Danio rerio: one gene and its partners. The protein of the gene in region 1 purifies or fractionates together with the protein of each later gene. This does not show direct contact. Links are inferred from orthologs where the notes say so. Each region holds a gene or a part of one and is shown in the gene's direction. Other genes may lie near its edges. The genes, in order: smarcc1a, ss18 and bcl7a.

The links.
Region 2: the proteins of smarcc1a (region 1) and ss18 purify together in Homo sapiens (affinity purification with mass spectrometry; 4 studies listed by BioGRID and IntAct, counting the BioPlex papers as one, with this or other methods). This does not show direct contact. The link is inferred for Danio rerio from reciprocal best matches to the Homo sapiens genes SMARCC1 and SS18.
Region 3: the proteins of smarcc1a (region 1) and bcl7a purify together in Homo sapiens (affinity purification with mass spectrometry; 4 studies listed by BioGRID and IntAct, counting the BioPlex papers as one, with this or other methods). This does not show direct contact. The link is inferred for Danio rerio from reciprocal best matches to the Homo sapiens genes SMARCC1 and BCL7A.

What each region holds. Positions count from the first base shown.
Region 1 is NC_133191.1:46,885,160-46,889,567, reverse strand, and holds the start of smarcc1a (SWI/SNF complex subunit SMARCC1), read left to right. Parts: upstream 1-1,604; 5' UTR 1,605-1,622; coding exon 1,623-1,808; intron 1,809-3,416; coding exon 3,417-3,536; intron 3,537-4,408. UniProt on the Homo sapiens protein: Involved in transcriptional activation and repression of select genes by chromatin remodeling (alteration of DNA-nucleosome topology).
Region 2 is NC_133177.1:1,537,877-1,542,030, reverse strand, and holds the start of ss18 (protein SSXT), read left to right. Parts: upstream 1-1,261; 5' UTR 1,262-1,387; coding exon 1,388-1,456; intron 1,457-4,154. UniProt on the Homo sapiens protein: Appears to function synergistically with RBM14 as a transcriptional coactivator. Isoform 1 and isoform 2 function in nuclear receptor coactivation. Isoform 1 and isoform 2 function in general transcriptional coactivation.
Region 3 is NC_133180.1:42,613,767-42,617,925, forward strand, and holds the start of bcl7a (B-cell CLL/lymphoma 7 protein family member A), read left to right. Parts: upstream 1-1,317; 5' UTR 1,318-1,382; coding exon 1,383-1,474; exon of another isoform or gene 1,475-2,313; coding exon of another isoform or gene 2,314-2,315; intron 2,316-2,394; coding exon 2,395-2,476; intron 2,477-2,872; coding exon 2,873-2,969; intron 2,970-3,354; coding exon 3,355-3,510; coding exon of another isoform or gene 3,511-3,528; intron 3,529-3,618; coding exon 3,619-3,716; intron 3,717-4,159. Other genes in the region: cfap251 (cilia- and flagella-associated protein 251), read left to right, coding at 799-920.

The sequences.
Region 1 (4,408 bases):
TTGTGTATTTTGCTTTGACTTTGACTTGTTTAGTTAGTTTTATATTCTGCCATGAATGTTTCTGAATGTTTCTCTTTTCCCCAACTATCCCAATAATCAATGTTAGTACGAATTAATGGGGACAGAGGTGAAAAAAAAAACAACACTTAAAGCAAAATTTCTTTGGCCCAGCTTTGGCCCACACAATCAGCTTTTGCTTGGCCCACATGCTGCAGTAAATTACGGTGACTGGACCAAGTCTGGCTTCCAGACAAAGACCAAACACGGACCATATCTGGGCCAAATCTCAGCCAAGTCAATAGCCCATAACTGAGCTTGAACTAAGCCAGATGTGTTTTTGTGTCATGACTGCAATGAAATGGATAAATCAATGAATCGTTGCGTTTTAGGTGTGCTAAAGGCGTGCTTTTTCTCAAAGCAACCTGAATGGTAGAATTGTTTTCCTTATTTGAAATGAATAAAAATGTATTTTAAATGTGGGTCAAGATGTAGGCCAACTTTGCTGTATGCTGTGTGCCTTGCAGATTTCAACTGCAGAGTCTGCATCCAGACCATAGACCTGATCCAGACTCTCAAAGTGTAAAACCCTGTTTAAGCACTAGATGGCACAATTTTTTCTTTCTGTAAAAATATATGTTATTTTTAACTCGAAAGAATGAAAGTAAAGTAAAGTAAAGTAAAGTAAAAAAAGTAAAAAAAAAAAAAAAAAAAACTATTTAAAAAGTAATAAAAAAGTAATAAATGCGAAAATAAGAAAGAAAAAGGGAAAATAAATAAATATAGCAGTAGACCTACATAAAAGTCTTTCCCAAGGACAAATTCATTGTCTACAGCGACTTATGATGTTCAGCGGTGGAATTACACATGAAAACTTTCTCATGGCTACAAAATATGCTACATTTTGCCTTTTTTATTTGCATGATGTACAAAAATATTATATTATTATATTATACTATATATATATATATATATATATATATATATATATATATATATATATATATATATATATATATATATATATATATATATATATATATATATATATAATTTTTTTTAATTCCATAGCTTCCGAGAATTGTGTTAAATCATTTATTTAAATCATAAAAATGGATTAGTTATATGCATAAATATAATACTATATAAAATAATGTAATATAAAAATAACTCAATCAATTTTCGTTAATATCTAAAACATCTGAAATTCTTAAAAAATTCTTTAAAATAATATAAATATCTAAGTATCTCATGTATTTGTAAGATTTTGGTAAATTCGATTCCTAAGCGTACTTACAATTGCATACTGCATTAGAGTGTAAACCAGCTCTAAACTAGTAATCATCATATTATTTAAATATTTTATTATTTTGATTCTTTAGTTGGATATTTATTTTATTTTATTTTATTTTATTTTATTTTATTTTATTTTATTTTATTTTATTTTATTTTATTTTATTTTATTTTTATTTTATTTTTATTTACGTCTCGACTGGTCTCTAACGCGCAATGATGAGCTCTCGCGAGATCTCCTTCGAGCAACGACTCCTGTGTCGGCGTTGCGCAGACGCAGTGCTGTTTTAAACATTTTCCACGGACTAGCCTCTATCGCTAATAAAGAAACAATGGCGACAGCGGCGACTGCAGCGGGCGGAACGGGCTCCGGAGGACCATCTGCCGGCCAAACGGGCGCCGGTTCCTCGATCGGACGTAAAAAAGACGGAGGGCCATCTTCCAAGTATTGGGAGAGCTCGGAAACGGTGTCCCAGTTGGAGACAGTTCGCTTGTGGATCGGGAAACATTATAAGAAGGTCTGCTGCTCATGAGGCGCCCGTTGAATGGGGGCGCGCGCATCACACAATAGCTACAAGAAGCGGCACGCGCGATTTCTTGTTGTTTATTCGCAATTATTGTCGGTTGTTTGACAGGGTCGAACCAGAGCAGTCGTGCAGATTGTGTTCAGCATCCGTACTGGCGTTTTAGTCGGCAAGTTTAGCTGTTGTGTTGTTTTAAGCGGCAGTGTTGTGGGTTGTTGAGTTAGCTCGCGCGCTAACGTTGCTGACTGAGATCTGCCATGATGAGGATATGTCTTAAAATCTGCTTAACTGCCGTGTTTATGTTCGTCTTATTTGTACTTGCTTTATTAAAACTGTGTCTTCCATTCGTTCTTAATGTATTTAGCACCACAATGTATCAGTTGTTTATGCAGAAGTTTGTTTACTGAACCTTTAAAGGGATAGTTCACCCAATAATGAAAATTCTGACATCCTTTACTCACCACTTGTTTCAAACCTTTATGATTTTCTCTCTTCAGTAAACCACGTAAGAAGATATTTCGAAGAATTCTAAAAACCTGTGACAATTGACTTCCATGGTATTTGTTTTTACTACTATGAAAGTGAATGCTTACAGGTTCTTAAAAGTAATTATCATCTTTGGTGTTCAGCAGAAGAAACTTACAAAGGTTTGGAACCAATTGAGCGTGAGTGAATATAAATTTTGGGCGAACTATCTAATATTGTTTTAACAGAAGTGCCATGGAACAGTGATTATGTAAATCTCATAAATATATAGCTGTGTATTTACCTGTGAAAGTATTTCATCTTGGTATTTACAAGGTGATTCAAGTTGTCACAAATGACACAGTGTTCACTTAGATTCAAGATTACTTGTATAGCGCTTACAATTATCTTCCCAAAGTAGCTTCACAAAAGGCATTACAGTTAAAATCAGAATAGTTAATGAGTTGTGTAAACAGTTGGCAGTGTATAAACATGGTTAACATGCAGTTATATGGTGATTTATTTTTTACAAAATAATCAATATTTACATTAATAATAAGGATGATAATAATACATGTTCGATGAAGTGTACTTGTGTCTTAAGTCTTTGTTGTCGTTGAAGATCTCTGATGGTTGGCATCATCTCTTCAAGTCCTCACAGGATTGGCATCTCTTTTCATGTCTTTGATCTGATCGAGTGGCACTCCACAATCTAGAAATAGAGAACAAAGAAAATAATTTGCATAGATGCTATTTATAATTTATTTGCTCAAGATATTACTGTAATGTGAAAGAACGCATTTGAAGAGTTCAATTTAACTGTCCTACAGTTATGTGATGCACTGTTTAAATGCTTTACTAAAAAAGATTTACAATGGCATTATGTTTAGTTGAATTATTTAGTTTTGATGTGTACCTAAAGCTAAAACATGCTTGTTTATTTAAGTCATAATTGTTCATTAGATCATTTAATTACTTCACTGTGTTATCCAAGAATTGCAGAAGCATGTATTGACTGGAGATAGTATGTTTTACATGTATTGTTACTTCCAGGTGTAATGATTTCACTGGAAAAGTCAAATGCTTTGTTTCTTAGTTGAATTGCTTGTGTTTAATAGGACTTGTTTTTTTCTGCAGCATGTCCAGACTGACTCTCCTACAAGCAAAACATTGGCTGCACTGGTGGTGCAATTGCTGCAGTTTCAAGAGGATGCATTTGGACGTAGAGTCAGCAATCCTGCCCTCACCAAACTACCTGTAAGTCTGGATTTGCAGTATTGTTTTAGCTTTCAGTAAGTGTTGTCATCTGTAGTATAATAATATTAGCTCCTTATCTTATAAAGCTTTTGCATTACAACCACTTCAAAACAAAGCAAAAGATGAACACAGACACAAATGCACAGTAATATCAATACCAGATTTCTCTTAAAGTTTAATTTTTAATTCATTCAGTAACTGTAGGTAACAAAAGATGACTAGCTGTGTTTGCCTGAAACAACAAAGAGTTAGATCACAGCACCCAAATGTTTGATGACTTGTTATTAAAGAATAACACAACTTGAAATGTCACAACTAGGACTGTACAATTAATCGCAATCACAAAAAAATCGTGATTTAAGCGCATGCAATTTTTAATCTATTAATTTATTTAGATTTTTATACAGAATACGTTCTTGTGTGCATGATTTTAATGTTAACCAATCAGCTGACATTGTGCACCACGCAAATACAGCTAAGCTGAGCTGGAGAAAGATGTTAACCAGCTCACTCCGCACACAACGAAGTTGAGCGTGAGGAAAGAACATAAAATACGGGTGCAGGTCAGAATAAAAGTTATTTGGTGCCAAAGAGAAATTCAACATCAGTTGTTTGGGAGAATTTAAGATTCAGGAGAGACAATGTGTCACAGAGCAAGGTCATTTGTAAGACTTGTGAAACGTTTTTTACGGCAAAACTGAGCAATCCTACAAATCTGTTCCAACACTTAAAACAGCGTCATAAAAAACTGTATGATCAATGCATGTCGACAAACTCTATCGTAACAAATAAATGCACACATCAAAACCAGCCCAAACAGACTGAACAAGTATTCATTGGTTAAGCATTTGCAAGCGTTGTGCCTTATGAGA
Region 2 (4,154 bases), on another chromosome or scaffold:
ACAGTGTACAGTTTTGAATGTTACTTCTTTTACCTTGTCAGTTATACAATAAATTTCATAAGAACGTCTGGAGATCTTACAGGTCTCATTCCACATTGAGCTTGTGATCTCCAAATACCATTGGCTGACGGAACACTAACACTATATATATAATCATTCTAATGATTATATATATATATATATATATATATATATATATATATATATATATATATATATATATATATATATATATATATTTATATATATATATATATATATATATTTATATATATATATATATATATATATATATATATATATATATATATATATATATATATATATATATATATATATATTTATATTTATATTTATACTTCCAGTTTAAGATTAAATCTAAAGTTGTGCTGCAAGCTATTATTACAAAATGTTGAGCTGCAAATTTGTTTTCCTCTTGTCAAATGCAGATTGCAGACCAAAAATGTTTACCTGCTGTGCGATACTGCCACCTGCTGATAGGTGTGACCCTGACAGTTGAGCTTTCTTGAAAATAAACGACTTTCTCTTACAATTGTAAATGCAAAAGGACCGGTCATTTAAATAACAGTACTGTGCACAATAGCAAATGGTGCACAAATAGTTTTCTTAACTGTGAATGTAAATAAAAATGCCACCTATATGTCAGGCTCTGCATCTGCAACATGCTTTTGAATTGGCTATTACATTTAGTCTTACAATTTAGATGCAGGTAAATACTAAAGAAGATATTAATTTAAATATTTAGGATGCTGAAGCAGCCATTTAAAGCGGATCATGTTGTAAAGCAGTGATTTTCATTCCGCTCGTCATAATATATTGCATAATTTATTGAATTTAAATTAAATGCAAGTACTTGCGCATATGAAAATGGCGTTTTGGTATTTCCTAAATTTGCTTCAATTTTTTGCGCATATGAATATAGCAAGTCAATTAAAGTATAACATATGTGCACACTCCACACACGACGGCGTTTTGCGCATTGCATGTGCAACGGAAACGCGCACGTACTCAGTGCACAAAATGCTGCTGTTTGGAATTCCCCCTTCTCTGACCCTTAGGGGCAAACCATTTTTAAGAAAAAGAGGTGTGCTTTGGATTTGTAGCTCTTATAAATTATATTAATCTGGACACTGCGCCCATTCACACTGTGTAATGATTAATAACAGAGTTTAAATATGTAAACAGACATTTTGCTACCAGCAGGTCTTCTTTATTTCTTGTCTTGAGTGTGATTTGGTGTATGCGAGGCTCCCCTGTGTGCTCCGTGCGCGTTGGTTGATTCTGATTTCGCAGCTCAGCGCGTTTGTTCTCGGTCAGTGTGTTTGTGTCCACCGTAGCGGTAATCTGAATTAACCAGAAACAAGCAATGTCTGTGGCTTTTGCACCGCACCGGCAGCGTGCCAAGGGCGATATAACGCCTGCCGGGATACAGAAGGTAACCTCATTTATTAGTTCGTCAAGCCGAGCGAAAACTGGAAACGGAAAATTTGCGTTAGGCTAGTTAGCTGCAACATCTCTCCCGCCAACACTAGCATAACATCACCAACAAGACGCTTATAAGGTGACATTTGTCGTCGTATTTAACAGCTCCTACATAACCGAATACCAGCGTAAAATGGGCTGATTTTGTGTTTTTTGGTCCGGGGTTTTTAAAGCTGTTGAAATCTGCTCGGTTCTGCTGTGTCTTTGTTAGCCGCTAACGTTACTACTCGGCTGTCTGATGAATCACAATGGAGGATTGTGTACAAGCATCACAACGTACATGTTCACTTGACAATAACACTGTCGTCGATTTATTTTTAAAGATATCGTCGATTTATATTTGATTTTGTGATGAAATTCATTTCGTTACGAACTAGCGTGTAACGTTATGCTAATATCTGATTTATTGATGAACAATGTCTGATTTGGTCATTTTCAGTCATGTCTTATTCGACAAGCCAAACGTTATTTTTGACACGTTAGATGTGTAAGTTAGCAGATTTTTCATTCCTGATGTCTTATAAAATTATTCAAGGTTAATGCATAAGTTTTAATTAGATTTGTTGATTTGTTTAGTGATTTCTGTTACTCAGGTCTGATGGAGATATACAGTAGAAGTCAGAATTATTAGCCCCCATTTTAATGTTTTTCTTCTTTAAATATTTCCTAAATGAAGTTCAACAGAGCAAGGAAATTTTTTACAGTTTGTCTGAAAATGTTTTTTCTTCTGGAAAAAGTCTTATTTGTTTTATTTCGGCTAGAATAAAAGCCATTTTTTAAACACCATATTAGGGGTAAAATTATTAACGTTAACCCCATTAAGCTATATTTTCTTTCGAAAGTCTAAAGAACAAACCATCATTATACAATAACTTATTACCCTAACCTGCCTAGTTACACTAATTAACCTCGTTAAGCCTTTAAATGTCACTTTAAGCTTTATAGAAGTGTCTTGAAAAATATCTAGTAAAATATTATTTACTGTCATCATGGCAAAGATAAAATAAATCTATTATTAGAAATAAGTTATTAAAACTAATATGTTTAAAAATGTGCTGAAAAAATCTCCGTTAAACAGAAATTGGGGAAAAAACAAACAAGCGGTCTAACAATTCAGGGGGGTTAATAATTCTGACTTCAACTATAGATATTTCGATATTGTCCTTATCCAAAGAAAGAAAAAAACATATATCGCCATGGCATACAATAATAAGTAGTATTAAACAGTTTATTAACCAGATTTTTGTTATGGCAAAGATATAACGATTATTCATGATTTTATTATAATAAAAGTGTTGTCATTAATGATTTTTTTTAAACAACTGTTTCGTAGCTTCTGTGGAAATTATTTATTTTGAATATTTAGCTATTTATAATATTCTCTGCTGCAGTTGTTTTGGTGTTTTTCTTTTGGTGAATTTGTTTCTTTAAATTAGCTTTCAATCAGGTCCTGGAGATTAACATCACTATACAATCACTCTGAAATATATTCAGTTTTTATAATAATATAAGACATGCTATAGAGGTAAAGTTGGTTTTATATTCGCACATTCGTTCATTTAGAAGTCTATATTGTTTACCATGTTACATTAAATATTCGATCGGAATTGGCACGCATGTATGACTTCTAAACAACATTAACACTATGTAATTCACTGTGAACAATGTTGTTCTTTGATAGTCATTTGCTGCTAATCTGATTTCCCTTTTTACAATTTTCAGAGAATACTTTTCTGAAATTATATAATCAGATCAAGGAGAATGTCTGAATATCCGAATATAAAACCAACTTTACCTCCATAGACATTCTTAGTCATTAATTCAAGTCAATATTTAACTAATTCCCTCTTTTATGATTATAATTCATTTGTATATGCATTTGTATAACGGCCCTGAGGAAAATAAGTCATATTGGATATAAATAAATGATTTAGAAAAATAAATACAATTATCATCCTTCAGTCTGCAATAGTATAAAGCATTGGTACCAAAAATAAATTGGCTAAAACTGACAAACAAGTCACACGAAAGCTTTGCATGGAAAAACATTTTGGTTTAAACCAATAAATGACCAAAAACATGTGTCTTATATTTAAATATATATATATATATTTTAAATAAATAAATTTATTGGTGAACAATATATCGTTTGAGCATCAATATCGCAATGTGTGCATCCCCAATAGTCACATTGCAGGATTCGATTATTTATTAAAGATGAAGATGAAAAGACAAAGATGTTGTTATTTTACCTTTGATAACTGTTCAATTTCTGTGCTTGACTCCACAGAAAGCCATAAAGCACTGTTTGTTAATTTATTTAATTAATTATATATGCTTGTAATTTATTATATTTATGCAGATGTACTTGATAATCCCAGTTGATCTAAATTAAGAAATGGGTTATTCAAATCATGTGGTAAAATTATATTTCTTATGGCAATGTATATCACAGCAAAACAAAATATCGCATTATCTGACTTTTCTAATATCGTGCAGCCCTTGCAAACTGAAATATATAGTGTACCTATATATCAATAACATTAGAGAGTCACTGTGTATGTTGCAGTTGCGTTGAATGAGCGTTTATGATTGGGCAGTCATGTTTATGCCCAGGATCATGTTTGATTCTAATGAAAGGCAGATCAGAG
Region 3 (4,159 bases), on another chromosome or scaffold:
TTTGTGAGCTCTAACAAAACACAAAACATGTTAAACATCTTTGGTGTTTCCCACTACATGTTTTCTATAAAACCAAACCAAGGGTGGTCAAGGGTATTTGACATAATTAGCATGGGAACACAGGACATGGTCCTTGTCACTAAAACTGCTTATTTCTTTGGACTTAAACATTTTTGAAAGCATTACCAGAAAATAATAAAAAATATATAACACTATGAAAAGGCGACACGGTGGCTCAGTGGTTAGCACTTTCACCTCACAGCAAGAAGGTCACTGGTTTGAGTGCCAACTGGGTCAGTCGGCATTTCTGTCTGAAGTTTGCATGGTCTCCCCGTGTGGGCGTGGGTTTCCCCCACAGTCCAAAGACATGCGCTATAGGTGAATTGGGTAAGCTTAATTGTCTTTTGTGTGAGTGTTTCTGAGTTTGTATGGGTGTTTCCCAGTACTGGGTTGCAGCTAGAAGGGATCCGCTGTGTTAAAAATATGCTGGATAAGTTGATGGTTCATTCCGCTGTGGCGACCTCAGATTAATAAAGTGACAAAGCTGAAGAAAATTGAATAAATTAATAAATGAACATGTTCATTTACACGTTCATCTTACATGTTTTGCCTTTACATTGTTGGTTATGTTTTGGGTTAAATCATAGGCAAGTGAATGTGCAAATTAGCGTCTTTGCTAATAATGCACTCACATATATAACCTCTGCAATGTTAAAGACTATTTGGCTAAAATACATTATGATTTTCAAAATGTAGCAATCTTTTGATCTCAACAAACGTTACTCTTTCTCCTTTCAGGGTCTCTGTTGGAAAGTGTGCTTCCAGCTGAAATCACCATGGACGCATTTGCCTCAGATATATTGGGCTTTTCTGTCGCCACCCAGGAGCTCCATCAAGAACACCACGGACAGGAGTCATAATATATTTACATTTCCCTGCTTATGTTCATGCGTTGTCAATAAGTAATGTATTTTAAAACAGATGGACTGTTATTGTGTGGTTAGCGAGCTGTTGTGTTATATGTTTGCGTTCAATTCTTTCGCATAGAGATAAAATCATACGAAAATAAAACATGTCGTTTGTCAACATGCTGTCGATTGAAGTCTCCATTTTTTCCAGATACATTTATAAAACGTGTGTTGATGTCGTGGTGCTGGTTTCGATTCGCTCGTCTAGCTCAGCAATCTGATAAAATATCGTTTTCTTTGCTCTGTTCGCCAACAAAGGAGCGAAACGCGTACCCGCATTGACCGTGTCTCTCATGCTTCGAGGGCATTTGGCTTCAGCGCAGGCGCACAAACCCCGCCTCTCTCCTGTGCTGTGTGCATTCGCATTGTGTCTAAACAGGCAGCGAGCAAAAAGATATTTTACCAACAGCAGTAATGTCGGGCAGGTCGGTTCGAGCGGAGACGCGGAGCAGGGCGAAAGATGACATCAAGCGGGTTATGGCTGCAATTGAAAAAGTGCGGAAATGGTAAGAGAGAGCGTCTATCCGTTAACGAACAGCACAGACAGCCTGTGGGGGAGGAGAGACACCGAGAAACAATGAAATGAAAGCGAAGAGAGCGTTTATTCCACTCCAATTTCACTCAGATGTACTGTTTCTGCGATTCTGCGCGCGGCTGCTCCTTTGTCGGCTGTGTGAAAACATAGTTTGGGAAAATGTAGATCGCGTTTTTTCTTCCATTAAATTTTTATGTGGGTTGAACCTAGAAGCCATTTCGTTGCAGTCACATGAAGGCTTTGCTGTTAGAGCCTGTAATGCCGGCTGAATAGTAACCGAACGGGCTGACATGAGGAAACTAGAGTGAACCGTCCGTACCGAACAGAAAGTGCCGGTGAACGGGCGTTTGACTCGTTCATCTCGTGTTGAAAGTGAGAGAGTCGCGCTTTGAGCGGCGGCGCGTGAGGAGAGTTTGATCCACGCGCGGGGTTTTAAACTCAGCCCTGAGCCGCAGTTTCACATACACTTTTTTACACTTCAAGCAACTGCTGGGGATTTCGTTTAAACTTAAGTTTAAGTTGAATTAAGGGTTTTCAAACCATGACAAATTATTTGTTGGACTAACAATAATTACCAAAACAATATTTATTCTATAAAAGTATACATGTTAAATGAGAAACAATCGTGTTTTTGTGGCAACGTGCGATTAAAATTGTACACATCTGTGAGCTAGTGAACTGCATTATTATTAGTATTTATTTTTATGATAATAATTATTTACTATTGATATCGATAATTTGTTCAGTTGCATATTCTGCAAATGCATCTTGCCTAAATAATGGCTCATCTGAGATTTCTTATGCCTCTAAATGTAAGTGATTTAGTGGTTTGTCCTCATTTGTCTGGCGTTTCCTTTGTCTTTGATATCTAACAATAACATGCATCTCCAGGGAGAAGAAATGGGTGACTGTTGGTGACACGTCACTGCGAATCTACAAGTGGGTACCAGTGACGGAGCCCAAGTCAGATGATGTAAGTGACATTTATTTACAATAACGCACAGCTGTTGCAGTTTTGATAACCTAATAATTATTGTAACATTATGGACCACAACCAACAAATTCATTTGAAAGTTGGAACAAAATAGTCAAGGTAAAATATGACGCAAATGACTTTTTAATGAGTAATTCTATAGTTATTATTTTTTTAATTTAGTAAAGGTAAATTAGTAGTGGTATTCGTTGAGGGGGAAACATATTTCAGTTGTAGCATAACACAGACCAGTATTATTGTTTTTAACAGAGATTAAATTCATATTTATTTTAAATAAAATAAGTTAACTAAAATGAGTCGTATTTAAAACAGACACAACATATTTTACTATCTTCTTCATATGCCTTGATTGCAATATGTATTTATGTCACACAGAAGAACAAAAATAAGAAGAAAGGCAAAGATGACAAGTATGGCTCTGAGGTCACGACCCCTGAGAACAGCTCCTCTCCTGGAATGATGGATATGCATGGTAAAACTGTACACCTAAACACATCTCAATGTTTTACCTTTTTCAAATTAGTATTACATGCAGTAGTCTTTAAACCAATTTATGTGAGAATTTCAAATTGTGTTCTTTGTGATCCTCAAACAGTTGGTCTAATATGCATGACTAAGATTTTGAAGTGTTACCTGCTTTTTATTAGAAAAAAATCATTATTATAATTATTAATGATGGCAGCTTTGAATGTGCATTTTTTCCTCTTAACCAATAGAGGGAGTTGATGAAACAGTTTTACTCTGTGAACTGGTTATTTGCTATGCTATTCCGACCTGTAACCACCTATTAACAGTTACAAATGCATGGACATTTTCAGATATTAAAACTTTTTTTGTTTCTATTTTTTTACCCACAGATGACAACAGTAACCAGAGCTCGATTGCGGACTCTTCCCCATTGAAGCAGGAAACCAGCAACAACACTAGTCCAGCACCTGAGCCCATGGCCGCTTCTCAGAATGACAGCAGTGACTTGAAAAACGACCAGTATCCTTCCAAACAGCCTTCATCTGGTCAGGATCATAAGAGTGGTTTGTGCATTGAATCCTCTAGAGGCTTACTATCCACTTGTCTGTGTTTTTGGTTTGTTTGTTTTAATGAAACCTTGTCATTATTTTCAGAACAAAACCACTGCTCATCGGAGTCTATGACAAGCAAAAGGGACAGCAAGTCACAGGGGGATTCAGAAAGCTTTTTAGACTCTTCCAAATCGGCCCAGGTACATACATACAGCATCACTTGCATATTTATTCATAAATCAACAGTTTTAAAATAAGATTTAAAATAGTTTTTAAAATACATCCATATTGCTCAATGAGGTGTTTAATCCTAAATACAGCAAAACAGCTATATTGTGGATTAATGTTACATTTCATGATTCATATTTTATTTCATAGAACAAAGTAAAGTTGTTCCTAAACCTTTTATCCTAAAGCTAGAGATGTGCTGTTGTGAACCGAGGCTTCGAAGCATGTATCAAAAAATAATACATCTCGCAGTAAAGCAGTGTACCGGAGTTAAATTTGTTTTGCCATAATCACATGATCAGTGACGTACGAAGCTTTATTTTTACCCATACCCACATGACTGCTTTAAATTTTGATTTAAAGGTTTAAACATCCTTGCAGGTTAGGAAAGTGTATAGCGAGAGATGAGGTGTCG